5 linked regions of the Rattus norvegicus genome follow. The protein of the gene in region 2 interacts with the protein of the main gene of each other region in a biochemical or structural test. Links are inferred from orthologs where the notes say so. Each region holds a gene or a part of one and is shown on either strand. Other genes may lie near its edges.

Region 1 (5,901 bases), on a different chromosome or scaffold from region 2:
CACACACACACACACACAGGAACACAGCTGCACGCATACACACAGAGACACACACACAGAAAAACACCTGCAGAGACACACACACAGAAACACACATGCACAGAGACACACACACACACATGTACAGAGACTCACACACAGAAACACACATGCACAGAGACACACACAGAAACACACATGCACAGAGACACACACAGAAACACACATGCACAGAGACACACAGAGACACATGCACAGAGACACACACACACAGAAACTTTTTTTTAAAGACAAGGTCTTTAATCACAGCACTAAGGAGGCAGATCTCTTGTGAGTTCAAGGCCAGCCTGGTCTACAAAGCAGAGCTCCAGGACAGCTGGGGCTGTTACACAAAGAAACCCTGTCTGGGGGGAGGGGATGGGGGCGATAGGGGATAAAACCCCAAAAACCAGAGAAATCCGTACTTGTATTGCTGAGAACTCATAATCCTCCTGTCTCAGCCACCCAAATGCTGGGACTGTAGGCTTATTCCACTATACCTAGCAATGAGTACTGAGAAGAGAAACCCAAGGGTCAGAGAAGTTAAGTAACTTGCCCAAGGGTCACACAGCTGGTAATAAGCAAGTGGCCTCTGTCAAAGACCCCTTACTTGTTGTCCTACACCAACCAAAGCAAAGCCACCTCCTTTTAGGACCTTTCCCGCTAACCTCTCAGCCAACCACCTCTTACCCAGCCACAGAGCCTAAATAGCAACAGGGGAGGTGCTAGGCCCACACTGACCCCAGTGGAAGCTGTGAAGAAGGTGGCTGAGAAGGAAATCAGAGCGGCAAGTCTGCACCCTGCTCTAACTGCCCAGGCTCCCCTGCTACCAGCTGGTGACCAGGCCAGCGCAGAGTCGGTCTCTGTATCTGTATCTGGCAGCAGGGAGTAGATGGCTGAGGCTACTTCAAGCCAGGCCCACCCTCAGGCCTGGAGCAGTGGGGGAGTCCAGAAGCAGGGGTCAGGGGAGGCTTTCGGTGAGTCCCTATACAGGTTGCCACTAGCAACCAACCGTGCTGACTCAGCATTGTTCTCCTGTCTGTTAGTTTAATTGTGCCCGTGTGGGTGTTTTGCCTGCATGTGTGTTTGTACACCGTGTGTGTACAGTGCACACAGCGCCCTTGTAGGCCCTTGTGTTGAATCCCCTGGGACTGAAGTTACGGAAGAGTATGAGTCACTTTGTAGGTGCTGGGAATCAAACCAGGTCCTCGGGAAGAGCGAGTGGCTCAGAGCTCCTAACCTCTTAGCCATCTCTGTAGCCCCCAGCTGCTGGTTTCTTACACTAACTCACCTGCAATGCACAATGATGGGCCCCGCGTGAGGCAAACTTTCCTGCCGCTGGTTGATCTGATCCAGGAAGCTGAGGACACCTCCAGGCTCACTGGGAACCCCATGGTCAGGCCAGCTCAGGTACTGGTAGTGCCATATCTCCCGAACCAGGTCCCCCTAGGCCAAGGACAAAGAGGCAATGCCTGGTGCTCCCACACGACATCCTCATCCTTGTCCTCCCCGCCCCCCCAGACTAGAAAATAAATCAAGGAAAGGCTCCTGAATGGGCGAGCTTGGGGACACTCACATTGTCCAGTGGGGAGATCTGCAATGTTCGAAGTTTGTACTCTGCTGTGTCATGCTCTTTACAGTTGGTCACAGAGTAGAGCCCATAGACGCGCTGAGTGCCCACCTCAGGCCAGTATGGGACACATTTGTTCTGAAAGGAGAGAGGGAAAGGATAAAGCACAGAGGCAGGGCCCTGGGGCTCCTTCTGGGCCCCAAGACATAGACCTGAATATTGGTTTTGAATGTATATATAGATATATATGTGGGGGGGTGTACATGTGTGTACAGATACATATATGGGGGATGAATGGTGTACATGTATGTACAAATACATACATGGAAGGATGGTGTGCATGTGTGTACAGATACATACACAGGAGATAGTGTGCACATGGAGATATAAGGGGACTGCCTTATATAAGGGTGTCTAGGAGTCACAGTGTATAGTGAAGACCATCTCAGGCCTTAGTTTCCCAAAATGCACTGGGCCTTTGTCACTGATGTCCTATTCTATATTGGCATCCGGTCTTGCCCTTAAAAAAGAATTACATTATATGACTGCCAACGTCATCCTCCATCTCTCTTGCACCGTATTCATTGAGGTAGTGTGTGTCACTCAAACCCAGAGCTCACCAATATAGCAAATCTTGCGAGCCAGTGCACTCTGGGAGTCTTCTGTATCCTCCTTCCAAAGCTGGAATCGTAGGTATCCGCCCTCTGCCCACCCAGAATGTACAAGGGTTTCTGAGGACCCGGGCTCTCATTCTCATGCTTTCATGGCAAATACTTAACCACTGAGCCTCCTCCCCACCCCCACCCTGTGGATGCTAAAAGAGTACATGAGCCAGCTCAGAACCAGACCTGGGACCTGGCCTCAGGCTAACCACCGCTAGGCGGGATCTGATCAACCCACCTTACCTTATAATCCATTCAGTGACCACTGAAACTGTACTAAGCTATGTGTGGTTCAAACCCAAGTAAGAGGCAGAGAGGATGGGGGGATGGGGAGGATGTATGAAGAATGTGTGCCCTGGGACACATTAAAGAGAGGGGCTGAGGATGAAACCCAGGGTTCCTACTGGGCAAGTGCTTTACCACTGGACTATATCATCACAGCCGAACATATGGTGCTCAGGAGGGCAGGGTGTCTAGGAGTCACAGTGTATAGTGAAGACCATCTCAGGCCTTAGTTTCCCAAAATGCACTGGGCCTTTGTCACTGATGTCCTATTCTATATTGGCATCCGGTCTTGCCCTTAAAAAAGAATTACATTTTATTGTGTGTATGTATGTGTGTGTATGTATTGTGTGTATATGTGTATATGTGTGTGTGTGTGTGTATGTATGTGTATTATGTATGTGTGAATGTGTGTTTATGTGTAGGTATGTATGTGTATGTATGTATGTATGTATGCATGTGTATGTGTGAATGTGTGTGTTTATGTGTAGGTATGTATGTGTATGTATGTACATATGTATGTGTGTGAATGTGTGTGTTTATGTGTAGGTATGTATGTGTATGTATGTACATATGTATGTGTGTGAATGTGTGTGTTTATGTGTAGGTATGTATGTGTATGTATGTACGTACGTATGTATGTGTATGTGTGTGTATGTATGTGACTGTAGACATATGGGTACTTGTATGCTATGTGCTGTGGTATGCACTTGACAGTCAGAGGATAACTTGCAGAAGTAAAGTTCTCGTCTACCATGTGGGTCCCAAGGATTGCACTCATGATGTCGGGCTTGTTGGCAAGCACGTTTAACTGTTGGAGCCATCTCACAAGCCCCTGATCTTGCTTGTGTCTGGACCGAGTGAGCAAAGACCGAGGAGGAAAATTTAAGGGTCAGGAAGGTGGAGTTTTGCCTTACCCGGCCTTTCTCCACCTCTCTGGTAGTCATGACGATGACACGAGTGTTCTCCTGCCAAGCCATCTGCCAGAAGTCATTGACGGTAGCGTCCAGACAGCCCTGACTGGCGATGTAGGTCTTAGAGTTCTCATCCGGACCTAGCAGCTGGTTCTGGGTGCAAGCACAGAGAGATCCCACCACAGACTGTGAGTCTCTGGGCAGTGGGCGTGCCTGTTCCACCCGCCATCACCCCCACATAAGATCAGATCCAACCTCACAGGCATCTGTAGCCATAGACCCCCAAGCCCCAGGGAGCTCTCAGAGACCAACATGTGTTCCCACAGAGGTCACCCAAGTCACCTTAACGTAGTTGGCATTGATGTAATCAGACCCTGGGATGTTACTGTCACGTCCCTGCAGGATCACTCGGCTGTGGTCAACTGGCATGGATAGAGAATGAACAGCTTGGGCCACTCCCTGGGTGAAGACCCTTCCCAAGCCAACAGCTGTCCTTGTCTCCAGGGCCACAGACTCATAGATAGGACAGCAGGGAGGGATAAATGGGAGTAGAGGCTTTGGGAGCAAGGCGTGGCAAGGAGGGAGTTACTGCCTGGTAGTTGTGGGGAGGCTCTTAGGAAGTGAAGAGGCTGCCTTGGGGAGAGAGCCCTGCTGGATGGTGGGGATGGAATGGGGCAGGGGGCAGTGAGAGACAGGCCTACTGGTGCTCACAGGGAAGAATGTTCTTGTAGCGGTTCTTGCTCTTGTTCTCCGGCCGCTGCCCTTCCAGACGCTGGTGCAAGTTCTTTACCTCTTGCTTTTGCAGACTCTGAAATATGAGAGAACTGAGTCCCCCGCCCCCGGGTGCATCCACAGGTGCAGAGGCCATAGTCAGAGCCGTGTCAGAGGCAGGTAAAGAGGGCAATCTATGCCAGCCCTGCTGTCCCCAGACACACCTCAAACTCCTCCCAGAAGCCGGCCTTGGCTGTGTCCTCTGACTCCTGCTTCTTGTTCAGTTCCAAGACCCGGTTCTCAATGTCTGCTGCATTTACCCGAGTGGCATAGTAAGGCTGGGGGTAAGGGAGGGCAAGAAATCAGTGGCTGAGAGACCTCAGAAAGCCACGTCTCTGATGGCTCAGACAAAGAGGCAAGCAGGTTGGCTCCTCACCTGCCTCAGGTAGACAAAGGCACCTGAGGCCTCCTCAATCCCCGTCTTCTTGAAGTGCTCCACCAGGTCTGTGAGGCTGTCGAATGTCTCTGAGCCACCCACAGTGTATCGTCCACCCTGAAGGACACCAAATAGGGTCACCCCTCAGGGCTGAGTCCCCCTCCTGGCACCCCCAGTCTTAAATCCAACCCACTGATGCTCCAGCATGAGGCCTTCCCCACAGCCCAGCTAACTCACCTCACACATAACCTTGATGTGCGTGACCCTGAGCGGGGAACCCGGGCCAGCCTTGGGCTGGTCATTGAGCACAGAGAGCACAAAATCACCAGGTTGGCTGAGACTCTCACGCACAAGAAATGTCCAGGGCTCGCCCTTGGCCTGCAGCAGTGACTCTGCCTGCCCTCCAGACATGTGACCATGATACCACCTGGAGAAAGTACATTGCAAAGATGGTGACCAGGCCCCAGAGCGAGCGCAGACACCTGCTATCTGCCAGGGTTGAATTACAAGCTTTCAAATCCACCACTACACAGATCCGTTACTAACTCAGAAAATGCTGAGAGGAAAAGCCAGACTTTGTGCTGTAATCCCGATTTGGAGCTGGAATTCCAGCCCCTCAGGACACATGAGGATAGTGGTAAATTTAAGGCCAGCATGATCTACACAAACATACCTTTAAAGCTCACCAAATAGCTGAGAATGACGGTTCATTTTTTTTATAATCCAGCATTCAGTGGACTAAGCAGAAGAACTGTCTTAACGAGGCCAGCCTGCTCTACATGTTAAGTTTCAGGCCAGCCTGAGCTACACAGTAAGACCCTACCTCAGACACAAAACAAACAGCCAGTCCTGGTGATATATACCTGTAATTACAGCTCTGGGTTGGCAGAAGCAAGAGGATCGCTGTAAGTTTGGGGCTAGCCTGGTCTACATGGTGAATTCCAAGCCAGCCTGAGCTACAAGCTGTCTCCAAAAGAAAGCTAACTTCCCATCTCTAAAACAAGAAAGGGATGGAGGAAAGAAGGAAAGACAGGCAGACAGACAGACAGATGGGAAGACAGATATGAAACAGCTCCTGTGAGATGGCTCAGAGAGAAAAATGGTTGTGGACAAGCTTACCACCTGAATTCAATCCCCAGAACCCACATGGAGGAGGAGAGAACCAGTTCTGACAAGTTGTCCTCTGATCTCTACCTGCGGCCATGGCACACAAGAAAATGTAACAAATTCTTTTTAAACAGAGAAACAAAACAAAAGCTGGGAGATTGCCATTTTCTCTACAATAAGAAAAAGGGGGCTAAGCAGTTG
Region 2 (5,901 bases):
CCAGACACATATGTTTTATAAATGTGTTTTTTTGGAAGCCTAGACCGTTAATTTTAATAGAATTAAAGAAGTCTCTGGGGTTTCTGACTTAATTTAAGTGAGATTAACAGGCAGCCATCTCTCTTGTATAATCTGGGGTTTTCTAGTTTTGATTTACACAGGGTTAAAGGAAGACAGGAAGTGGTGAAGGTGAATAGGCATTTTATTAATAAGAGACTCAGAGACTCTAGGCCCAGGTCTTCTCATATTTATATTCATGACATGTGTGATCTATTCTGACAGGAAGGGAAGAAATAAAAAATGTTCCTTGCAGTGCAGGTCAGCATGCCCTTTTCTCTAAGCATAGTTCTATTTACTCAATATTTAGTTAGGGAGAAACAAATATCTCGCAGTGAAGTTAACCTTTTTTGGCTCTAGTAGCTTTGCCATTAGCATCTTGGCATTAACAAGCATTTTTTTAAATGAATACCCATAAGATGCAAGTGTTTGGGCTTGCGAGAGGAGACACAAAGGATGTATAAGATGATACCCAGAGGATTTCCAAAACAAGAATAAGAATGAACTCCCTAGAAATAGAAAAAGAGCTCCATAGCTGCGTTAGATCAGTCCTGGTTTACCCAGTTACCTGGAAGAGACCTTAAAAACATCCCTACGTTATATGATAATTTGATCCCATCACCAGCATCAGATGTGACTAGAATACCCCAGTGTGATGAGGGGAAGGCAGGCAGACATTTGGCCTTATTAGATAAACCATAGACATGGCTTCACCTTTGTTTTTCTCGCTTCCCCTGGAGAGTTTATGCTTTAGAAAGGGATCACTTGGCAATGACATCAAAGCGAGCTTGGCGCTGTTATTCTTGTCATCTCATCAGCTAAACAGAGCGTAGGCCGTTAAGATCCATTTAATCTGAACTCCCAGATAAAGAAGGCTACCTACCTTGAACACTAGTATTTTTATTCTGGGAAAGCTAATTCTAAGATAAGTGAAATGAGTATTGTTGAACACACATTACAGATCATGTTGCATTTTCCTTCCAACCAGGAACAAACCGGCAAAAAGCAGTTGCTTTCAGTTTCCCCCCTTTCAGTCTTTTGTACCACAGTGATAAGATGGCAAGCAAACACTTTCGTCCATGTACTCTTAATTTCTATCTTAACTTCCATGTGTTCTTTGTCTACCTCTGTAGCCATCAAAGAATGCTTTATTGTTTTATTATCTTAATACTCTGAAGCAAGAAAAATAAAAATCGGAGGTTTTAAAATTTCCTAGAGTTATCCTAAAATCTATTTTTCTAAGCCAAAGATTGAGTTTGAATCACAATGAAAATTTGGGATCCTGTAGACAAGGGTCAGCGGTCAGGAGCTTGTGATGCTCTTGCAGAGGACATTTGTCTGGGTTTCAGTGCCCAAGTCAGGCAGCTCTCAACCACCTGTAACTCAAAGCTCAGGTGAGCCGATGCTCTTTTCTGGCTTCTGTAGGCACCTGCCCCTGTACACATACCCACACAAAAAACATAATTAAATGATTTTTTTAAATTGTTAATTTATAGTATCTTGTATTCCATGACCAATGTCAATTAACCGAGTTACAATCTGGTTTGCTTCCTTCGCTAGTTTTGTTTTGCAGAATATTACTAAAACTATACACACATAGTTGCCCCATAATTACCCAAACTTTAACCTCACTTTCTCCAAGCATAGATGCACTAATAGTTTATTGCGTCTTAATCTCCAGGTTGGATGATCGATGCTGACAGCAGACCTAAATTCAAAGAACTGGCTGCTGAGTTTTCAAGGATGGCTAGAGACCCTCAAAGATACCTAGTAATTCAGGTTAGTTGTTTTGATGCTGCTTTTAAAACTCTAATAACAAACTCTATCTAAACTTTACAATGTTGAAAACATCCGATAATAGAATGACCATGTGAAAAACTTGTGGATTCGTGGATCTGACTATGGTTCTATGTATGCCTAGGAGAAAATTCAGGCTCAGAAAGGTAAATGCTACCTATTCTCTCTCATCTGTAAAACTTACCCGTCTACATATACACATACACATGGTATAGGCCACAAAACTAGAAAGAGATCATTAGAAAGGAAAAAGAAGTTTTAAGGGAAAGGTAAATTAAGAAAGAAGCTAATAGAATACCTATGACATTTGAGTAGCCAGGGGAGAGGAGTACCAGAAGGTCATAAACCAAAACAATATATGTATGAATATTTTATCATAATGCTATAACAAACCCATTTCTTCATATATTAATTTTAAAAGTCCATGTGGATTGTTTTATTGGGCGAGGGGTATCGTCTCCAAGCAATAACTCAATTCAGATGAATTGATGCCTACCTAAACCATAGAACAAAGCAATAGGTATTTTGCATTCAACATCAGGAACCCTATGGATTGGCTCATTTAATTAATATAATAATGTCTCAGTGCTTAGTTTCATCTAAAGCAGAAGCAGTTGTACCTTGAAGGGTCTTAATTCTTCCTCACTGAGAAGAGCATTTACCTTTCAGTAGACTAAACATGAAGAACAAAGCCAGACGTTAGAAGACAATCATGTCACAAACTGACACTCTTTACCAGTATAACAAATTTTGAAAAAGTGAAAGTATTTAAGGCATGATAAATGGAACAAACCTTAGCAGAGGTCGTATATGTTTTCACACCCACATATGCTCTATATGTCACTGTACTATGATTTTTAAATGCCATCACTTTGACAATGATGCCATTATACTACAAGGTCGACCATGGATGTCTGTGTCCTGACTAAGCAGAATAGTGCAAACGTATTAATTTAAAACTGATATGTTGATGGTCTCTTATTGTCGATTCTTTTTTTTAAATTTTTCCCATGATTTTACATAGCTTTATTGCACACTTATTTTTATGGATATTTTATGTATTTACATTTCAAATGTTATCCCCTGCTTCTATGAAGATCTTCCCACTCCCATCCACCCATTCCCATCTAACCACCCTGGCATTCCCCTACACTGGGGCATCGAACCTTCACAGGACCAAGGGCTTCTCCTCTTATTGATGGCAGACAATGCCACTCTCTGCTACCTACGCGGCTAGAGCCACGGGTCCTTCCATGTGTACTCTGGTTGGTGGTTTAGTCCCTGGGAGCTCTGGGGGGTCTGGTTGGTTGATGCTCTTCCTATGGGGATGCAAACCCCTCCAGCTCCTGTTGATTATTAATCCTTACCCCTCCTCGACAGTGAACTGTTATTTTCAGATCTGAAGTGGAACTTCCCACACTTAAAATGTGCACAGCACCTGGCTGTGTTCTTTTTCTTGCTGTTCTTAAAATCATCGCATTCTTCTACTCCATTTCTGTGTCATCCCTTTTACTATCTAACCATAGTACAGGATTCTTTTTGGATGGTAGTTACGTTAAGACTGTTGTTTTAAATAAGCACATGAGTGCTCTAGCCGTTTGCCTTTCTAGCGTATAAAATGACTAGTGAAACCATGAGTTGTGGAGGAAGGAATAATGGTTGTGGTTATCTCTTGGGCAATCTTTCAGGGGGATGATCGCATGAAGCTTCCCAGTCCAAACGACAGCAAATTCTTCCAGAATCTCTTGGATGAAGAGGATTTGGAAGATATGATGGACGCTGAGGAATATTTGGTCCCCCAGGCTTTCAATATCCCACCTCCTATCTACACATCCAGAACAAGAATTGACTCCAATAGGGTAAGAATAATCATACACAAGTACCATGATACTTCTGAGAGACAAATTGGTATGCACTGATGGTGAGGCATAAAAGTTTCCATAGAAATATACAGGGTTAGTCATGATTCCAGTTTCTGCCTGGCTAAAGAGTGAGATCTTGTCTCAGCAACTAAACAAAAGAAAAACAATTTAAAATAAGAAGAAAGAAGAGAGGGAGGTAGGAGGGAAGGACCGCACTTCCAGACCACGGTTTACTTTTCTTTGTACTGAAAAAGAAAATATGTAATTGCGAATCAACCTGAAATATTTTATGGTCCCAATAGGAGCAGATAACATAAAGCTTTAAAATTCTAATTCATAAGCCAGGTGGTGGTGGTGCACACCTTGAATTCTACCACTCGAGTGACAGAGGTGGGAGGACCTCTGAATTCTAGGTCATTGTGCACTACAGACTGAGTTCTAGTACACCCAAGGCTACACAGAGAAAAAAGAAAAACAACAATGACAACAACAACAAAAACCTCTTTAGAAAAAATAATTCCTAGGTAGATTGTGAAGATCAATCTTTGTGGGAAGTATGACAGTCTGGGGTATGACTGGGGTCTTCCCTGCTCTCTCTATATAGCAAAAATGACCAAACATCACTAGATAAAAGATAATTCATCACTTTTTGGGTCAATAATTGATTTTCAAGGAAAGTTCTATTTCTTAAAGTGAAATTCCATCGAGATATGGTTTTATTTTTCTATTTTATAAGGATTCTCAAATTCTTAGGTTTTGTTCATTTTAATTTGTAGTGCTTAATGCAAGGAATTCTTAATAACATTTTGATCTAACTAAACAGAACTAGACAAAGCAGGAATCTCATGGGAAGTCCTTGACCTTTAGTCTTCTTCTCTTGTTCTGCATTTTGATTTGCTACCTACAAACTTTTTTTTTTAGTTGTCAGTGTCTGGAAAGTGAATTGTACTTAATACCACTTATTTTGGGAGCATAATGACTGTGTCTGTGCATGCACACACACACACACACACAAACACATACAACACACACACACACACACACACACACACACACCAGGTTGTACCTGTGGAAATTCAAGGATACGCTCAGCTGGTATTTCCACCATCCATCTTATTTCAAACACGCTCTTTCATCCATTGTTGTGTGTGCGAATCTTGCTGGCCTGTGATTCTCCTCTCTCCAACTCACCTCTCTCCTTAGGAGCACTAAGATTATAAACTCATGCCGGTGGGTCTGGCTTTACCTCTGTTCTGTGATCCCAACTTGTGCTTTCACAGTAAATACTCTGCCTACTGAGCCATCTTTCCGGCCCACAAAAGATCATGATCATTTATATTGCCCTAATTTAAATATCTGGTTTCATAGAACTCTTATTTCAACTTATAACATGTTACAAATATTATTTCCCTGTTTGTCTACAGTGTTGCTACATTATTTCATAATTACTTCAACTTTAGTTTCTGTGGTCAAGTTATGTAATAAGGAACAATGTTTAAAGTGAATAAGGATAGAAAGCTTAACATACTTGATAAATCTTTACTAGGAAGTAAATACTCGGTTTTTAAATGCAAAATGCACACACAAACGTGCATGTATGTGTGTGTGCGTGTGTGTGTGTGTGTGTGTGTCTGTGTGTGTGTGTGTGTGACTAATGTTCTGGTTCTTTCTATATCATTATTTTCTCATTTTTAAATTAATACAACTGTACCTATCTATATGAGTGACAGACAATTACGAATCACATTTTCTCTAGTGAATAAGCATTAATAAACATTAATCTCTTTAGAATGAGACAATATTTATGTTTACTTTTTATTTATCATAACATAATTACAGATACATTCTCATTCGGCTTGCTACTAATGACAAGTCTGTTGATGTGTTTACTCTTTAATTCTGTGTATGTTTCCCTACATCAAACAAATGATAGCAGTCTCTTCTGCAATGTGCTAGGTTGTTCGAAATTTCACAAGGGGGTCAGCAAGATGTTTCAGCAGGGTATGGGACTTGCCATTAGGTCTCATGAACTAATCTGTATTCCCAAACCTACCTACAGGGTAGAAAATAACTTATTCCTGCAAGTTGTACTTTAACCCCCATACATGCACTGTGGCTCATACAGGTCTGCACACAGGAAATAAGCGAATTTTAAAAATGTAAACTTTAAATCCACATGGATTTT
Region 3 (6,611 bases), on a different chromosome or scaffold from region 2:
AAGCAGCAGTGAAGTTCAAGTGGCACTCTATTATGTGTCTTGAAAGTTCTGTCAACACCTACTGCTGCAATTCTTGTGTCCGCTTCTCCCCCTCTCCCATTATCATCGAACCAAGTTAGGAAAAAAAATCATGTAATGCTAGTTACTCTTCCTTCCTCGTCAAATCCATCCTTCCTCACCCCCACAGTTTCCATGGGAACATGGCTGGTATTTTATTCTGAAGTTACTGGAGCATCAGTCATTTTTCTTGGTTAAAATGGTTTGGAGGTTTTTCACCTGTCACAGTGGTTTCATTCAAACAGAAAAATTTCAGGAAGTGTAGTCTCCTTTGAGCCTCATGGAGATACTCCCACCACTAAGAAGGCATTCTGGGAAAGTAACATATTCAGACCCGGAACAAGAGATAGAAGTTGGTGTTCTTGTAGCCTTGGGTTTTGATTACCCCAAGTATTTGGGAAGATCTTACATTTAGTTTTTAAGTTCCAAAGTGCAAGTTTGTTTTCCGGTCCTTGGGTTCTAAAATGCTGGTGTTTTGACGACATGGGGTTAGTAAATCTCAGCTCTCTAACTGCCTCACATCCTCCAGACAAACAACCCTGTGAACTGAAAAGGTTTCTACTCTCAGCTGCTTGCTGCCCCTTGCTGGCTGAGCAGTGGCCCCTCCTGGGAAAACGGAGTTATTCCGGCCGGCTCTGGGGCCACTTCCCCTCCACTCTGAAAAGCTGAGCAGTGCTTTTCCTAGAGTCAGAAACTTTCCTGGGGTTCTGCTGCTTGTTTGGCACAGGGAGATTGGTATGTGGTATTTGCTGGAAGGCTACCAAGAGGTCTGGACGCTAAAGGTTTAGAATAAAAAACCATGTCAGTACTATAGAGATATCGTAACAATTGCACCCATCTCACAGAGTTTGATTCTTAGTCCTGGGAACGTTAAAGTAATATATAAATGATTCTTAAGACGATTTAAGTGAACACCTTGCCCACTTCCCTTCCCACCCATGTGTGAAAGGTGTACTCTGGATTTCACCTTTCTTTAGATCATGGCAGCCAGAGAACACAGAGAAAGCTGTAGACAGCAATGGGTCTGTTAGTGTTAACTCCAGGAAGTCAAAAGGAAGGAGCCAAATCACCCTGAAAGTGGGATAGCTGTAGAGTATTGATCGTTGGTGTGAGCTGTTTCTCAACCACAACTCTATACCACTGTAAATGAGCAGGCTAAGTTGGCCACAAGTGTGTGTGTTGATGACAGTGTCTCTACACGGAGACCAATGTGAATCACTTCTTGGTGCGGACTACTCTGGCCTCTGACTCCTCCTCAGAGTTCTCTACCTGGATACAGGAAAACTAGAATTCACTAGCAGTTCTCAGAAAGTCTAATAGGGGTGTGTGTGTGTGTGTGTGTGGCATTAATGAACTAAAGATCTGGACTACACAGTTCATTGTTCTACGGTCCCAACTCACTCCCTCACTCGAGGATCTGACCCTACCGACACACCTTAGACTCGTTACTGTCGATGGTGAATTATGGCTCATTAGTTCTTTTGGAAATTAAGTTGTAGAAAGAGATATCTGTGCTTAGGAAGAAGCTAGAGTGAGTATTTAAAATGGAGATGGGAAATCCAATAGTCATGCTATTAGGCACAGGAAGGCAGACACGTGCTCAAGTGGCTGATGGTACATCAGTGCAAACTGTTCATGCTTGAAGTTCACAGAACCCTTCCTCAGTACCTCAAACTCCGTTCCACCCCAGACTGCACCTTCGCCCTTAGTGCCAGAGAGAAACTTCCCTAAAACAGAGAGAAATGAACTCTGAACCCTTCTGGGAAATAGCAATTGTTCCTCCCCCTCCCTGGGATTCCAGGTCTCCAGAGCAATCATTGTGGAGCAGGTGCTACAGTTACAAACTTTTCTCCATCTTCCACCCTTCACTTCCCCTACCACGCACTTTTCAAGGCTTGGATCAGCTCAGCAGCCTGCCAGGGACTGCTAGCACCAGCGTCCCTTCCAGGGCTCTCCAGACTGCTCCGTTCGGTCTGGCGGCGGCTGTGGCAGTGTCAGCGCAGCTTCCAGCGACCCCTGTCGGGAGTTCCCGGCAGCCGCTGGGCTCGGCCGCCCCCAGCTTGGCCGGGCTGCCAGAAGAAAGGGGCTGAGCCGCGATCGCCCAGCTCAGGCTCCTCCCGGTGGCGTGTCTGCGCCTCGGGGTGGGGGTGTGGTGGGGAAGAGGGAGGGGGCGAGGCGAGGGGAGGGTGCGAAGGAGGCGCCTGCGTCCAACCTGCGGGCAATTGAAAAAGAGCCGGCTAGGACTTCCCCAAAACTTGTGGGAACTCCGGACCGCGCGGGCAGCAGGAGCCGAGCGCAGCGCAGCGGCCGCAGCTGCCGGGAGATGCGAGCGCAGACCGGATTGTGATCACCTTTCCCTCTTCGGGCTGTAAGAGAGCGAGACAAGCCACCGAAGCGAGGCCACTCCAGAGCCGGCAGCGGAGGGACCCGGGACACTAGAGCAGCTCCGAGCCACTCCAGACTGAGCGGACGCTCCAGGTGATCGAGTCCACGCTGCTTCCTGCAGGCGACAGGCGACGCCTCCCGAGCAGCCCGGCCACTGGCTCTTCCCCTCCTGGGACAAACTTTTCTGCAAGCCCTTGGACCAAACTTGTCGCGCGTCACCGTCACCCAACCGGGTCCGCGTAGAGCGCTCATCTTCGGCGAGATGTCTGAGCGCAAAGAAGGCAGAGGCAAGGGGAAGGGCAAGAAGAAGGACCGGGGATCCCGCGGGAAGCCCGGGCCCGCCGAGGGCGACCCGAGCCCAGGTGAGTGCCAGCCGCTCCGCTGCTCCCAGGCGGGCACCTACTCTGGTCCCGTGCGTCCCTGCTCAGCTCTCTTGGCGCCTGACCCGGTCCCCGAGCTGCGGTGCGGGGGCTGCCTCCACCTGGTGCCCGTGCGCTTCCCGCACCCCGAGCCTGCTGGTCATCCCTCCGGGGCCCTTGGGGTCGGCTGTGCGCCGCGCTCCCGGGCTCTGCCCTCGGTCCCCGCGTCAATCGCGGAGCCCAGCCCGGGAGTGGGGCTCCGATTGCGGGATCCCTACGGGCTGCGCGTGCCCTGCGGCCCGAGGACTTTGAGCGGGCCGGGTCTGCCCTCTAGCGAGAGAAGCGGGAACCGGCTCTGGGTTCGAGAGCCTGCGCCCCTCCGCCTGGGCCCGGGCTGCGCGGAGGGTGGTCGGGGAAAGGGTGGTGTGGGCGCCCGGGCGTCCGCGAGGTGGGCGGAGGGAAGCGGTTGGACAGCCGCTGTGCGAGCCTAGGATCGCTCTGATTGCGTGCGGCGATAGAGAAAGCCAGAGCGGCTGAGAGGGATTCCTAAAGGTCAGCGAAGCACGCAGAACCTGACCCGGTGCCAAGATTCAGGTCCGCTCTGAATAAATTTGGCTTCAGCTGTTGAAGTTTTCAGGGTTGCCCTGATAAAAGATGGCTAGTTTAGTTTCCCAAGAGACGTCAGAAAGGAACAATTTACCCCAGGTTTTGAACCCCATTGCTTACCGATTATATATGGAATGAAAAAGGGGTGGGGGGAGTTAAGGTTTTTTTGTTACCAGATCTTTTTAATCCACCGTCGGAGCGCAATCTAAAGGCCACTGCCACCCTAGATATCTCAAGGGAAGGCTATTACATTGACTTGGTCAGAAGAGGTATAAAAGGTCGCCTGTGACCAAAACTTGTCAGAGTTATTAAATAGATGCTTAAGGGGTGGCGCCTGAGAGGGTCTTTACCGTCCCTCTGCAGTCCCCTACAGTGGATCTGGATGCCTTGTGACTCTTAGAGCATCCCCAACACACATTGTGAAGTACTTCAGGGAAATTAACAACACTTGTGCAGTCTGTGCCTAAAGGAGATAAGCAGAAATATCTGCTCCGTGCAGGAAGAAAACAAACCACATTTTCTTAGTGCGCTCCTTGGATTCGCTCAGCATTTCAGAACCTGGGTTGTTGGCAGGGACCCTAAGTAAGGTTTAGAACAAAACAGAAACCGAACAGAGAGTAATTGTTTAGCCACTGGCCCGCTTAAAAGGCGCTGCTGATCTGTTTCACCTTAATTACCCCGCGTGAGCCTTCCTGAAGGTAGACGGATGTTTTCCCAATATTTACTGTATATTTTGGAGATTAACTGCAACATTGTACTCAACAAAGTACGGAACAACAGGGATCTGGGTTAATGTCATCATAGTATGTTAAAGAGACCCAGAATCGTAAAGGTATAAAGAACTTTCTGTTTCACTTGTCACCACTTGTGGCTTTTATCAATGGTTTGCATGGGCTGGTTAGACCGGTGGTTCTCAACCTGTGGGTCGCAACCCTAGGGGGGTGCGAGCCAAAGGACCCTTTCTTTCTGAGGGAGATTCATAACAGTAGCAAAATTACAGTTACTACGTGGCAACGAAATAATTTTATGGTTTGAGGAACTGAATTAAAGGGTTCAAGCGTTAGGAAGGCCTGAGAGCTTAGTTGCTCTCCTGAATTGAGATGGGGTGGTGGCTTGACTAGGTAGCGACTCTTTCAGTAGCAAGCTTTATCTCTCAACTAGGGCGCTAAGTCCACAACATACCTCAGATGTTTTAGTGAAGGCAGTGGTTCAGGTGGGGAGAGGTTAGACGTCTCAGGGCTGTCTGCAGCCTTGACTCACCTGGTGGGCATCCGTCTCAGGGCTACCTAATGTTCTTAGGGAAGTCTAGAGTTTCTTCTCTGGCTCCCTTGTGTATCTGTAGCCCCACAGCTGTGACTCTAAACCAGACTCCATGATATATTCTTCCCCGTTTCCCAGAAACAAATTGGGATGATGTCTGTGGGCTAGATTTTAGTTTGTTTCCTATCATGATATGATTGGGGGTAGAAGGGGTGAATGGAGAGACACTTTGCTCCCTCCAGAGAACTTTTTTTAACCCCCTTTAGGATTCTGTCAATAGATCAAACCAGATTAAGAGCATTTATTCTTTTGGTTTGCAAACGGTCACCTTGAAATTTGCGTTACGTAGAAATTCAGGGCATTAGATTGTCTTGCTTTGGATATCACTGTTTCTGCCTTTGCCTTGTCACGCTTCCTTCTAATGGTAAGTCCCAGTCTGATTTTCCCTATTGAAGAAGATGAGTAGCTGTGATTTGTGGGGTAAATCCACGCTTGTTCTGGTTCTGGATCTTCCCTCTGGCCCATGAGTCCGAGGAACCGTCAATAGCCTTCACATTTGCCAGGTAGTCAAATTTAGGATTTGCAAGGACAACCATCTCTTGAATTGTTCCTGGGTGTCACCCTTTCCTTAAAGCAACCAATGGAGTGCTACGTGTGTCCTTGGCAATGCAATGCTGAGCTTTTCACGCCAGTTTTTACCACAGCGAAGATGACTGAGGGTGCTTAGCCCTGCTCTGTACTTTATCAGACGCATAGGCATGTGGGTGGGAACTCTTCAGGAGAAAAACACCCTGTAAACTGCTACATTGACAGATGTAGTGGATGATTGTACAGACCTGGCTGTGTTTCCTATCTGCATTATGAGGTAATTAGCCAACACTGGACTGCACACTGTTGTGGCCGCTGATGTCCAATAGGATGATCTACTCTGTGATGGTAGATGTCACAGGTCCCATGTCTTTGAGGTCACAGATCTTCTTTGTTCAGAATAAACAACCTAAGGAAAATCCTGGGTTTTGTGTCACAGACCCATGTATCAAGGGTCCCATAATGTCCTGAGCCTCCTGCAAGCTGGCACTCCCAGATCCTGCCTCTGACTAATTCACTCAGCTTCGCATGTTCCTTTAGAAGCCCGAATTACAAAACTGGTTTTTCTTTTATCCTATCAGTTTGCCAGTTGACTCGAGACCTTCCTTAAGACTGCTGACGTTTTCCATATGCTGTGCAGTATGCTTTTGGTCATTGTTTTGACTCTTAAGTGACCTGTAACAAACCTGTTATTGTACCTGTCTCAGATCTAGAACTGTGGGCTGTTTTTTCATGCCTGCTGGAAGGGGTATTTGTGAGTGGAAAACTTCAGAAACTTAGTATCCCTAATAGACGCAGGCTGTGCACGCCTCGAATGATATCATCCACCTGTTTCCTTAACTAAATGGCTCCAAAGGCTGAAGTGCCTTGTAAACGTTCTTGGAAATAAAGTGCCCCGTCACTAACAGGGCAGTCTGTTTACAGAAGGAGAAGGAATGTCCAGTGATCTGTTTCAACCTGGTCACTTGTAACTGTTTACATTATGTAATCATTAAAAACATTAAAGCTTATTTATAGAACAAAGTGGGACTTGTTATTGCGAACTAAAAAAAACAGGAAGAGTGAGGAAAGGAAGCTTGGCTACTGCCTTAATATATACAGAATGATAATGGTACTAATGAGGATGAGGAGAACATATATATGCTTATGTATATATGTGCATGTGTATATGTGCTTATACAACAATGTGTCTATGTATAGATGCACATGTGTATATGTGCTTATATATGCACCTGTCTATGTAGATATATCAGCCAGTCTTGGGCCATCAGATGAACAGTAAATATATTTCCAGTATCCCCAGTCCTTTTCTATTCAGAACAGTGAAGATTATTGTATATTACTTAATGGAGATCC
Region 4 (6,599 bases), on a different chromosome or scaffold from region 2:
TGGTTCAGTTACCTTCTCGGGTCTTCTGTTAATTCAGTGATGCGGGGCGTTGGGGAGAGGAGGGCCTTCCCTCATTGCCTGTTTCTGTAGTGTGATCAGGGGAGAAGAAGGTTGGCATTGGACAGCCTGAGAAAGGAAGTCCACATGTAACAAACCAATCCAACGTCCACCTTGAACCATTTCCTTTCTCAGGCTGTCAGATCTTTATGATAAGAACTTTCTAGAGGTTGGTCAGCGCTGGGATGGATAGCACCCCGAAACATCAGAAGCTGAGACAGCAAAAAGCTGTAGTTAATACACCCAGCTCACTGGGTTATTATCATAAAGATCTGAGAAAGAGGCCAGGGAGGGTGCAAACAATAAGTTTGCAAAGCACCTACATCCTGCGTAGGACATTTAAGTCCAAGGCAGAGCACAGGGTTAGAGCTATACTCCAGCGGCGAATTCCCCAATGGATTCTGCATTTCAGAACCCTCCTCACTTTCTGGGTCACTTATGGGACAAAAACCTCTACATTGGAGAGGGGCCAGGGCTTAAAGGAAACAGTTACATAATAACAAAAGGGCCAGACATCTAAGGAGATGTAGCAATGTGAAAAGTGTGCACAGATCAGCAGGGCATCAAAATGCATAAGGTAAACCCTGACAGAAATGGAAGACAAAGATGAAAGAGACAAAGCCAATATTATGGTCTGGATTTTTCAGTTTCTCTCTTTCTATAACTGATAGATCAAATAGAAAATCAATGAAGAGACCAGAGCAACACTGTCAACCAAGCTGACATTTGTGAGATTTTTGACTCTATCAACCAAAGAAGGCATTCCTCTCAAGTGCTCAAGGAATATTTACCAAAATAAAATGCACGCTTTGGAAACCCATTAATTTCACATTTAAAACGCCACATAAATTGTTTTTAGAAGACAAAAAATTATACTAAATGTATTGTAAGAAAAAATTATCTGGAAAATGAAAAATGGGTTTTTATATAACCCGCGAGTTGATAGAAGTCTCGAAAGAACTCTTAAAACATTTTAGCTAGCATGCAAGTGAAAATCCAAGGCTCTGGAGGATTAGTTCTGCAGTTACACTTGGTGGATCTTACAGAGGACTCATGTTCAACTCCCAGCACCCCACTGACACCTCACCACTGTCTGTAACCCCATTCTCAAGGTATCTGATGTCCTCTTCTGACATCCATGGGTACTAAACACATGCATGATTTGCATACATAGATGTAGGCAAAATACTCATATGCATAAAATAATATATATGATATATATATTAAAAAATGAAAATACGGTTGACAAACATTTTTTTCAAATGATGCTAAAAGTAGTGCTTACAGGGAAATCCCCAGCACTAGGTCCATTGCTATAACAAAATCCCCGAGGTTAAGTACGTTATAAAGAAAGGGAGTTTAATTTGGCTTAGCAATTTAGGGCTTAAAAGCCCAAGTTCAGGCTGTCACATCAGGTGAGCCCCTTACATTACATGCCATCCTGGCAGATGGCACCAAATGGAGGAAGGCTGAGATTGACAATGGCTTTGGACGTGACCAAATTGGTTGAAGATAACAATTCATTGTCAAAGTAACTAACCCAGTCCACCAAGACGTAACTTAGACCTCTGAGATAGCCATTAATCTTTCCCAAGGCAGATGCCTCAGTGAACTCACTCCCTCATACCAGACCCCACCTCTCAAAGGTTCTGCCCCTTGAATATGCCACACCTTGGCCAAGCTTCTAGCACTCGAGCCTGCGATTGGAGCACCCAAACCCTGACGATGTATCATTCAAAGGGAGTGTGTCAACTCAGTCACCTATAATTTGAGGCGAGGATGCTCTAATTATAGCAAAATAAGTTTTATAAGGATTACAAAGAATTATAGTACATTAAGCCTAGGCCTCAATGGCAAAAGGAAGTAACATGAAAAAAAAAAACTCTGAAGCTAAAAATAGGAAACTATAAACCAAAATGAGCAAACCCCATTTTGAGTCTTTAAAATTATCAGCTGAGTTAGTAAATCGTCAAACAAGGTGTACAGTAAGTTGACGAGGACAAAAATTGGTATGGCACACAGTTTTAGCCAGGATGCGTAGGGAACATGTGAGAGTCGGTGTGCCCATCCTGGTTGAGAACGACCATGTCTACTGATCCTCCTTCGGCTGGAATGTGTTTGGGAATCCCTGCCTTCCAACTGTAACTTCATTTTGACTATGAAATTACCGAGCACCGCCCTCTCCCCTCCTCCCCGACACACACATACCCTCTCACTTCTGCTTTCTGGCTGGTCTTGCTTGCTGACACTTTGAGGAAAAGCCACTTCCCTAGTTGCAGACACCACTTAGCATCAGGGAGCCTCCACTTGCTCTCCTCTCCTTCCCTCCGTCTCTGTGGCCACCCCCATTTTTAAGCCTGCCAGTTTGGTCCTTTCCACGCTCCATGCTGCCTGGTGCCCGGGAGCCCAGGCCATCTGCGACTCCAGGACAGGAAGGTAAGTCAGATTTGGGCAATCCATAATGGTGACCTCATGGCTCCCTGCACCATGGGCGGGCCTTAGCGAGCACGCCGATATCTGAGTTCGATATCGGCTTCCCCGGCTGATACTGTGCCTGGGCTACACCATGCCCTGGCCGACTTGTTTGCTGTGGAGGAGTTGACAATTACTGCAGTTCTCACGAGGCAGAGCCATCTTTCTTCCCCCAAGTACATAACCGTTGGCCCTATCTTTAAACACCGGGGTTAATTTGCGTCTCTAGATACAGCTGTGAAGTCTCGGGAGTAATTCCACTCTAATTTCCCGGAATATTTTACGGGCCTGAATTTCAGAGAAACCCAGGTTACCTTGAGCAGGTGTGGCATGCCCTTTGTGTCGAATTTGGGTCGTTTGGCTTTCCTAGAGGCCTTGAGGGCCCTGTGCGTGTTGTTCTTGTGAGGTGGGCGGATGGGGAAGTAAAATAGTGCCTAATCGCCAGCAGCTTCAGCCAGGCCCCCACGGCCTACTGAAACGGAGTCTGCCGGTCACAGTATCCACTGTGGCCTCAACCCCAGCCACCCAGCTGGGATTCCCTGGGATGGGGCTTGAGGGGGGAACCAGAAGAATACTGTAACTTAGCTGTTCACCTATCCTGGATACTTTGTCTCAAGATAATGGCAAGGAAAACTAAAAGACAATTCTTATCATGAAATGTCTGGTGCTTGGTCAGTTGTTGCTATTTTATGTGTGAGTGTATGTGTGTATATGTATATACCTGTATGTATGGTGTATGTGTGTATTGTATGCATATATGAGTATATACCTGTATGTATGGTATATGTGATTGTATACATATGTATGTGTGTGTATGTATGTGTGGTGTGTGTGTATTGTACATATGTGTATGTGTATACACTTTTATGTGTTTGTGTGTGGTATATGTATATATGTATATTCCTTTATATGTATGTGTGTGTTGAATGCATATATGTGTATATACCTTTATGTATGGTGTATATGTGTGTAATATGTACATATATGTGTTTATACCTGCATGTATGATATGTCTGAGTGTGTGGTATATGTATATGTGTATATATGTATATACCTTTATGTGTATGTGTATGTGGTATATATGTGTGTTGTATGTATATCTGTGTATATACCTTTATGTGTGGTGTATGTGTATGTGAGTGTGGTATGTACATATATGTGTATATGTCTCTCTGTGTGACATACATACATATATATGTGTGTATATATACATATATATACATATATATATGTATATATATATGTATATATATGCCATCACCTGAGCAGGCAGAAGCTTGGACCTGTAAGTACTTTCTTCCTTTGTTCCAGAGTCATCTGCAGGTAAAGTCAGCCAGTCACATAAGTACCAGTGAGAACCAGGGTCCGTGGAGTCCTGGCTAGATCATGGCACCTGAATTCCAAAACTTTCTTTTCTCTACATGTTGTCAGGGAAGCAGTGCATTCATGCTCTCTCTGGTGCAGTTGCTTGCTGACTAGCTTGCAGTATCCATTCAGCAGGTCTGTCCAGTGGGTCGGTGTTTAAGATTTAACAGTTATATAAACAGGGGCTAGGAGATGGCTTTGTCTTGTCAAGCAAACACAAAGAACTGAGTTCTTTACCCAACACTGGGGATTTTAGAAAGCTGGATGTGCAGAGAGGTGGGTGTAATTCCAGTGCTGGGGAAGTGCGGAAGAGGCAGATACCTGGGGCTTGCTAGCTAGGTGGCCTGGCCTCCTTGGCTAGTTCCAAGCCAGTGGGAGGTCTCATCTCAAAAGCCAAAGTGGATGGCATCTGAAAAACGGCATCCGAGATTGATCTCTGACCTCCATACACATGAATACCCACTCATACATGAGCATGTACAAAAAGAAAATGTGCTTAGGTGAGCTGGTTGCCTGTTCGTAAGTAAACAGTTAATCTTCTGTGGACTACAGGCGTCCTCTGTGACTTGTGCTAATGTCATCCAGGTAGGCATAGAGACCAGCTTAGAGGCTTGCCTTCAAGATCTGAGGATGTCCAGCGGTCAGCCGAGAGGAAGTCAGCCTTTTCTGATGTGGGGATTCTCTACTCTGAAGCTGCCTCACACCAGTCTGGTTTTAAAGGGTCAGGACAGGCTCTTGTGCATTTTATTGGCCCTCTATTTCTGAATGACGGTGGGCATCAAGCTGGTCAGCCCTGCCTGTGATTCCTGTCTCTGAGGTACAGGCATATGCATTCTGAGACATCTCCTGTTACCTCCCGAGCTGCTGCCAGGATGAAACATGGAGGTGCTCCTCAGATAATAGTGTGGCCCCTCCTTGGGAAGCTAGGTGTCTGTGCAGTGTGACATCCAGTCAGCGTACAGGAAGTCTGGGGGACAGAGCTCCTGTAAGATAGCCTCCCAGAGGACAAGCCAATATCTGACAAGAAGCTGAGGCAGCTGCCCTCTGTGGTTCAGACCCAGGGCCCTCTGGGTTCCATTCTTCCCTGCTTAGGCCCCACGTTTGGGCCCATGCGTTTTCTTCATAGTGAGATCTCCAAGTAGAAGCCCTGTGAATGCTCACAGCTCCAGGAAGAGCAGTTGCAGGCAGTTAACTGCAGATCTCTGTGCCGTGGGGCGGCCTGTCACCAACCAGCCTGACTGGCCTAGTGAGACTGACTCTCCCTCCAGGCTGGCCTCATTCCTCTTTTTTTATGAAAATTAGCATAGCGCCCCCCCCCCCCCCATCCCCAGAGGAAGTTTTTCTTTTAAATGAGGTTCTAGCATTTAATTACTCAACTTATGGCTGCAAGGAAATTTCCCAGGTACACTTGAGTGGGGCTGTTTTGCATTGGAGTGGCCATGTGGTTTCAAGTGAGAGAAACCTGCATTTGCATCTTCCTGATTTTGTTTTCCCTGTGTGGCCCAAAGTGGGCAGATGTTACCTTTGGCTGGTATTTTCCCAGAGAGCTGTTTCCCCCAATCACAGACCACAGTGCACCTAGGGCTCTTGTGGCCCCTCGATGGGAGAACCAGCCATCTTAAATGACTAAGAACTGCTGTCAGTGCCCCACAGGGAATGGGATGGGGTAGCTGGAAGGGGAGGGCAGCCTCATCTGCAGAGGTCATGCTTTGGTCTCCAAATGGGCCGAGGCTAGTCAGAGAAAGGAAACACGACACGGGCTGCCTCTTCTCCTCCAGTTCATGTTTAGCTAGGAAGTGTGGGAAATAACTCTTAATAAATATAGTTGCGTATAGGTGAAGATAATCTTAGCTTACAAATAACTGGTTTTTTCAAACCTGCCAAGGCAGCATTCTGGGTCTTTTCAAAGACCTGTGGGGAGAAGGGTGGACATTGCTTAAAGCCACTGAACATTTGTTCATGGATTCCTTATTTAAGGATTCACTGTTTCTTGATCCTGGGGGGAATGGTCCAGTCAGTGTGTTGCCTTGCAAGCACAAGAACCTGAGTTCAATCCCATGCACACTTACAGAACAACAACAGTAGTAGCAGCCATGTTGGTTCACACCTCTCAGCCGAGGTAGGAATGCATGGATCCCTGGGACTGCCTGGCCAGCCTCGCCTGTTTGGAAAGCCCTATGTCAGTAACAGAGCCTGTCTCAGAAAACAGGACAGCTAAGGTTGACCCCTGCTGTGCGCGTGCACATATGCATGCCCACACAAACACATACACACATGCACACGCACACATCACGTCACATCACGTCAATGCACATGTACACATGCATGCATGCACACACATACATGCGTGCACACAGGCACACACACTTCACTAAAATGTATTTGTAACCCTCGTCAGGTATGGCACTCTGTCATTTGTGGACATGCACTAAATGATTCCATTCTGTCTCTGTGAGAAAACCCTCTGACCAAAAGCAACTTGTGGGAGGAAAAGGTTTATTTGGCGTACACTTTCGGGTCACAGTTTGTCATCGAGAGGAGTCAGGGTGGAACTTAAGCAGGAACCTGGAACAAAACCACATAACAATGCTGCTTGCTGCTCACTTTCAGACTTGTGCTTATCCAGTTCTCATATACAGCCTAGGACCACTTGCCTAGGGATTGTGCTGCCCATGGCGGGCTGGGCCTTCCCACATAAATCATCA
Region 5 (5,901 bases), on a different chromosome or scaffold from region 2:
AGTGAGACTCTGATCTTGGAGAGCGAAGAATATAGAATTCTTAGTTTCATCTGCCTATTAGATGCTGTGATACAGTTCTGAAGGTTTTTTTTAACAGATTTTTCCTTCCCTTCATAACTAAGTAGAATTGATCGTTCAATTTCAAGTTTTAAATGTTAGAAGAAATCAAGAGAGTTGAATTTTGTTTTCCTCTAGTGATTTATCACAAGATAAGAAGAAGGGGGAAATGGAAGTACAATATTGATATTTCTATAAAAATATATCCATCCTTCTTCCCTCAAGTTGTCCCCTACACACAGACATACACATTACATAAATGAATACATACACATAGACACATAAATGTAATTAAAATTCATCAAGTGGTAACAAATTTGTACAATTTAATTGACTATTTCACTTGTTTGGGAAGAAAGAGTAGAAAGTATATTTTTGCCTCAGTAAAAGCCACAAAATTCGGGGTTGGGGATTTAGCTCAGTGGTAGAGCGCTTACCTAGGAAGTGCAAGGCCCTGGGTTCGGTCCCCAGCTCCGAAAAAAAGAACCAAAAAAAAAAAAAAAAAGCCACAAAATTCATGACTTAGTTAGATCAGCCAAGGGGAACCAATTGAATGAGTGTTGCTTTTTTTTTTTTTTTTTTTTTTTTTTGTTCTTTTTTTCGGAGCTGGGGACCGAACTCAGGGCCTTGCGCTTCCTAGGCAAGCACTCTACCACTGAGCTAAATCCCCAACCCCGAGTGTTGCTTTTATAATTAGGTTTTGTTTGTTTGGTTTTTGTTTTGTTGAGTTTAGAGTTTTGTTTTAATTTTGGTTCTTGAGCATGAACCTGAGGCCTCATGAGAGTTAGGTAAGCACTCCAGCCCTGAGGGACGTCCCAGTCAATAGTCAGGCTTCTGTTTCTCCTGTTGTCGTTGGTTAGTTGGTGTATGTGTGTGGGGTGAGGGGGGAGAACACTGATTTTTTTTTTTTTACTTGAATGAAATGGAATAAATTTATCTTACTCTCCTTTTTAGTAAATACTGCTTCCCCAAAATAGAAATCTCTACAGACCCGAGTCCCTTTTATTTAGCACCTGAGTTATCCAAATGCTCAGTGAGCACGTAAGCCATGAGGGACATCACTTGCCAGCAGGAAGTACAGATCAAACCATGAGATTGCCACGACATGCCTGCATTCACTCCCATGAATGAGCAAAAGTAAAGTTAGGTGCACTATAGAGTAACAGCCTCCAACTTTGACAATCCAAGTAAGTAACATTTACACACCGGTCCTGTGGGCGCCACTTGTTATGGCTGTTACATTGGTCAGAGCCTGGTGAAGATCAGTGTGCACCCCATGACCTATCCATTTATATCAACTAGATGTGCACAGAAGTCCCTGAGTCACAGAACAAGTATCATATTTATAATAGCTCAAACTGGGAACATCCTATGTAAACACCGAGAGGAGGACAAATGAATTTTGGTAGTCTCACACATCAGAATATTTCATGGCAACGAGAAAGGGATCCTGCCACATGCAATGAAAAGTAAACCTGCAGGAATAATAGTTATTATTATAGTTAGTGAAGTGTTTGAATTCAGATCCCCAGCCACCAAGTGTGAAGCCAGGCGTGGCAGCACATACCTGTGTGTGGGAGCTGGAAGTAGGAGCTCTCTGCTGAAGCTGAGCTCCAGGCTGGCGAGGGACCCTTTTCTAAAGGGTAAGGTGAAGAGCTGTTGGGGAAGAGGCCCGGCATCAGCCTCTCCCTCCATGGGTGAGGTCACACATAAGACTTCATACGCTCATTTCATTTCTATGCTTTGTATAATTTTGTTGTAATTTTCAAGATGACATTTTGCTAAGGCTGGTCTCCTATTTCTGTGCTGAAGAGATCCCCCAGCCTCAGCCTTCTGAGCAGCTGGGACTATAGCGCAGCCTGTACACCCATCTGCTTTTACGAACTTCAGTATTCAGCTCTCTGCTTTTCTTTTTTCAATTATATGCCTTGGTCTCTGTCTTAGAATTCTTTTCTTTTTACCAGACTTTGTCTTTTTCACAGAGGTAGCTGAGGAGCTTGGGAGAACTGCCTCCTCCTCATCTGTAGTTCCATACCTGCCTCGACTGCCACTACTTCCTTCCAAGACAAGGACCCTGAAGAAGCAGGGGGAGAACAAAGAGAACCTAGATGGGGGCCTTGATGCCTCCGAGATCCTGGCCTCCAGCTCAGCACCAGGTAGGAGGGGGCAGAGCAGAAAGGGTAACCCTTGAAGAACAAAGGACCACAATGCTACTTGGCCTTGGGTCTGCATTGCCAGTGTGGGCAGTTTTATCCAGTCCTATGCAGTCTGCTACCAGATCTGTTTGTTTAGTTCCTGGCTCCTAGGTAGCTACCCAGATGGGTGATGGTGTACACCTATCTTCTATAGAAGGGACAAATACAGAAGAGACCAGCAGGTACTACTGAGGCACTAATGTACAAATCACGGCTGGAACACTAGTCACTGAGTCAGTGACTTATTTGTGAACTTCCTGAGTAGTGCCAACATCTGACATTCAAGAAATGCAGACGGAACTTTCTAAGGTAGTCACACTAACTGGCTTTTCTGTTACTAATTGGCCATTTCTCAGCAGGGTTCATTAGAAGCACCCAGGCCTCCAGTGGGTCCCCAGCTCTGCCTCGAAAGCAAAGAGATAAGTCACCCAGCAGCCTCTTAGAAGATGCCAAAGAGACATGCTTCACCAGGGACAGGAAGGGAGGCTTCTTCAGCTCCTTCATGAAAAAAAGAAATGCCCCCATGCCCCCTAAGCGCAGCAGCTCTTTTCGAGAAATGGAGAATCAGCCCCACAAGAAATATGAACTCACGGGTAACTTCTCACCTGTTGCTTCTCTGCAGCATGCTGATGGGTTCTCTTTCACTCCCGGCCAGCAAGAGTCGAATCTGGTGCCAGCCAAGTGCTATGGGGGGAGCTTTGCACAGAGGAACCTCTGTGGTGATGATGACAGTGGTGGGGGTGGGGGTAGTGGCACTGCTGCGGGTGGGTGGTCTGGTATCACAGGCTTCTTTACACCTCGCTTAATCAAAAAGACACTGGGCTTGCGAGCAGGTAAACCGACAGCCAGTGATGACACTTCCAAGCCTTTTCCAAGGTCAAACTCTACATCTTCCATGTCCTCAGGGCTCCCCGAGCAGGATAGGATGGCAATGACCCTTCCCAGGAACTGCCAGAGGTCCAAACTCCAGCTGGAAAGGACAGTGTCCACCTCTTCTCAACCAGAAGAGAATGTGGACAGGGCTAATGACATGCTTCCAAAAAAATCAGAGGAAGGTGCTGCTCCAGCCAGGGAGAGACCAAAAGCCAAACTATTGCCCAGAGGAGCCACGGCTCTTGCCCTGAGAGCCCCTGATCCAGCCATCACTGAGAGTGACTGTCCAGGGGTAGGGGTGGCTGGAGTGGCAGCTGCCCCCAAAGGCAAGGAGAGGAATGGTGGGACGCGGCTTGGAGTCGCTGGAGTCCCAGAGGACGCAGAGCAGCCAGGCTGGTCTTCTCCAGCCAAGGCTGTAGCTGTCCTCCCAACCACTCACAACCACAAAGTGCCAGTCCTTATCTCACCCACTCTGAAACACACTGCAGCTGATGTGCAGCTCATTGGCACAGACTCTCAGGGGAACAAATTCAAGCTCTTATCTGAGCATCAGGTCACATCCTCTGGAGACAAGGACCGACCCCGACGGGTAAAACCAAAGTGTGCCCCACCCCCGCCACCAGTGATGAGACTACTGCAGCATCCGTCCACATGCTCAGACCCCGAGGAAGAGCCAACTGCCCCCCCTGCAGGACAGCACACTCCAGACACCCAGGACGGAGGAAAAAAGGCAGCTCCAGGGCCAGTGCCCAGTAGTGGGAAACCTGGGAGGCCAGTGATGCCTCCACCTCAAGTGCCTTTGCCCACATCTTCCATCTCGCCAGCCAAAATGGCCAATGGCACAGCAGGTACTAAGGTGGCCCTGAGGAAAACCAAACAGGCAGCTGAGAAAATCTCAGCTGACAAAATCAGCAAAGCGGCCCTGCTGGAGTGTGCCGGCCTACTGTCCAGTGCAATCACAGAACCTGTGCCCCATAGCCAGCTGGTGGACACTGGGCACCAGCTACTCCACTACTGCTCAGGGTATGTGGACTGCATCCCCCACACTCGCAACAAATTTGCCTTCCGAGAGGCTGTGAGCAAACTGGAACTTAGCTTACAGGAGCTGCAGGTGTCTTCCACAGCTGCTGGTGTGCCTGGGACAAACCCTGTCCTTAATAACTTATTGTCATGTGTACAGGAAATTAGTGATGTGGTGCAGAGGTAGCCATTGTCAGCCTAGTGGGGAAATGCACATTCTGAGGGGAGAGGGAAAGGGACTTGTTTTCCTGTGTTCTCGTTCTCAAACAGTGAAAGACTGATACTTGAGTGTGTTTATGTGAAGTACCTCAGACCCCTGAGTTCTCACGTTTACAGGTTCATCTCAGAACAGCAAAAAGGAAATCACATAAATAGATAAAGTGAATGTGGTGGGGCAGGGCAGTGTGGACACAGTTGGAAACTGCACTGGAAAATAAGCGAGCATCATGCATACATCATAAAAGTGCAGCCCTCCCTCTCTGGAATGGCCTGTGGCCTCCATTGGGCTGCTCTCAGTTGTGCTGCATCATGAAACAGGCCTTGACCTGGCAGGTCCTGGGGGTTATCACGTTTCAGTTCACCCTGCAAATCTGGGGAACAGGAGAGAGCAAGTGAGGGATGTAGCAGGCGCCGTTTTATTCAAGGCTAAAGAAGTGTCTGTTGGTCTTGCTTCCACGGACATTGCTGTTATAGCAAGAACTGCAAATTAGATTACCAGAGTACTCAACTGGGAAACATGACCCTATCCGTCTGCTCTGTCCTGTTTACCGTGGGTGTGTGAGTTGGTGCAGAAAGTACAGAACAAGGGTGAGTGTAGTCAGATGGACACCTCCAGACTCTCCTGCTCATCAGCCGTCACGTCTCCCACTCTTCTGGCATATTACTTGCTAGTGGGCCAGTATCCACCTGCTGCTTATTGTCAGCTGTCTGTAAGCCATGGGCAGAGGGCGTGGTCTTGGTTCTCTGCCCTTTGCTGGGCTGTCTGTCCTCCTCCATTCCTGGCAGCATACATACCGGGCATTACCCAGCATCCATGTTGAAAATAGTGCTCACTACAGGTTCTCATAGGAGACCTTCTAAGCCCCTGAACACTGACATAATGGCCACTTAGGCAGCTATACATATCCTCTAGTTATACAAGCACATCCAGTACCTTTTTGAAACTGTGGCTGGCCTGGGGACCTGGGACTGAGGAGCTCACTCCATGTGGCTGCTTGTACCTTTGCCCTCCTTAATACCTTAAACCCGTCTGGGTGGACGTAGGGAAGCCATCTTCACTGAGGGCTTGCCTCCACTGATTCTCAGCATTCTCTCTCTTTGCTCACACATCATCCCCAACCCCTTGTTGCACTTGGAGTTTGTGTTGGGAATATACTTCATTTATTTTCTCCTTTTATCTCTATGTTAAGAGTGCATGGTAGGAGTGGGTTATTTTCAGGGAGCACCAGTTAGGCCCATAAACCTAAGGGTTTAACCTGAGAATCAGTTTTGCCCTTCACAAATGGGCATTTCCCTCCCTAATACAGTTATGGAAGCTAATAAAGTAACATGGAGCAGGGCAGTAGCAGGTTATGGATTCCTGGTGCTTTGGGTGTTGAGTCTAATTCCAGATACTGATTTTCTTTAACTTTGTGAACACCCTTTTCATTCTTCAAAGAGAGCCAATACAAAATATAGTGATTTTTCTTCTTCCAAAGGAATGTTAATGTAGGAAGATGGGGCTTGAGCACTAAGCAGTGTTTTCTTCCTGACTTAT

Evidence for each region.
Region 1: the proteins of Erbb4 (region 2) and Ptpn6 form a complex in vitro, tested with the Homo sapiens proteins (2 studies listed by BioGRID, with this or other methods). The link is inferred for Rattus norvegicus from reciprocal best matches to the Homo sapiens genes ERBB4 and PTPN6.
Region 3: the proteins of Erbb4 (region 2) and Nrg1 form a complex in vitro, tested with the Homo sapiens proteins (2 studies listed by BioGRID and IntAct, with this or other methods). The link is inferred for Rattus norvegicus from reciprocal best matches to the Homo sapiens genes ERBB4 and NRG1.
Region 4: the proteins of Erbb4 (region 2) and Syk form a complex in vitro, tested with the Homo sapiens proteins (2 studies listed by BioGRID and IntAct, with this or other methods). The link is inferred for Rattus norvegicus from reciprocal best matches to the Homo sapiens genes ERBB4 and SYK.
Region 5: the proteins of Erbb4 (region 2) and Abl2 form a complex in vitro, tested with the Homo sapiens proteins (2 studies listed by BioGRID and IntAct, with this or other methods). The link is inferred for Rattus norvegicus from reciprocal best matches to the Homo sapiens genes ERBB4 and ABL2.

The regions. Positions count from the first base shown.
Region 1 is NC_086022.1:159,215,696-159,221,596, forward strand, and holds part of Ptpn6 (tyrosine-protein phosphatase non-receptor type 6), read right to left. Parts: intron 5,021-5,901; coding exon 4,831-5,020; intron 4,711-4,830; coding exon 4,594-4,710; intron 4,496-4,593; coding exon 4,382-4,495; intron 4,255-4,381; coding exon 4,158-4,254; intron 3,869-4,157; coding exon 3,789-3,868; intron 3,600-3,788; coding exon 3,450-3,599; intron 1,727-3,449; coding exon 1,595-1,726; intron 1,465-1,594; coding exon 1,310-1,464; intron 1-1,309. UniProt on the Homo sapiens protein: Tyrosine phosphatase enzyme that plays important roles in controlling immune signaling pathways and fundamental physiological processes such as hematopoiesis.
Region 2 is NC_086027.1:77,008,711-77,014,611, reverse strand, and holds part of Erbb4 (receptor tyrosine-protein kinase erbB-4 precursor), read left to right. Parts: intron 1-1,738; coding exon 1,739-1,836; intron 1,837-3,542; coding exon 3,543-3,713; intron 3,714-5,901. UniProt on the Homo sapiens protein: Tyrosine-protein kinase that plays an essential role as cell surface receptor for neuregulins and EGF family members and regulates development of the heart, the central nervous system and the mammary gland, gene transcription, cell proliferation, differentiation, migration and apoptosis.
Region 3 is NC_086034.1:66,810,335-66,816,945, forward strand, and holds the start of Nrg1 (pro-neuregulin-1, membrane-bound isoform), read left to right. Parts: upstream 1-2,307; 5' UTR 2,308-2,704; coding exon 2,705-2,804; intron 2,805-6,611. UniProt on the Homo sapiens protein: Direct ligand for ERBB3 and ERBB4 tyrosine kinase receptors. Concomitantly recruits ERBB1 and ERBB2 coreceptors, resulting in ligand-stimulated tyrosine phosphorylation and activation of the ERBB receptors.
Region 4 is NC_086035.1:12,809,046-12,815,644, reverse strand, and holds the start of Syk (tyrosine-protein kinase SYK), read left to right. Parts: upstream 1-2,371; 5' UTR 2,372-2,493; intron 2,494-6,599. UniProt on the Homo sapiens protein: Non-receptor tyrosine kinase which mediates signal transduction downstream of a variety of transmembrane receptors including classical immunoreceptors like the B-cell receptor (BCR).
Region 5 is NC_086031.1:71,309,578-71,315,478, forward strand, and holds part of Abl2 (tyrosine-protein kinase ABL2), read left to right. Parts: intron 1-2,039; coding exon 2,040-2,213; intron 2,214-2,608; coding exon 2,609-4,332; 3' UTR 4,333-5,901. UniProt on the Homo sapiens protein: Non-receptor tyrosine-protein kinase that plays an ABL1-overlapping role in key processes linked to cell growth and survival such as cytoskeleton remodeling in response to extracellular stimuli, cell motility and adhesion and receptor endocytosis.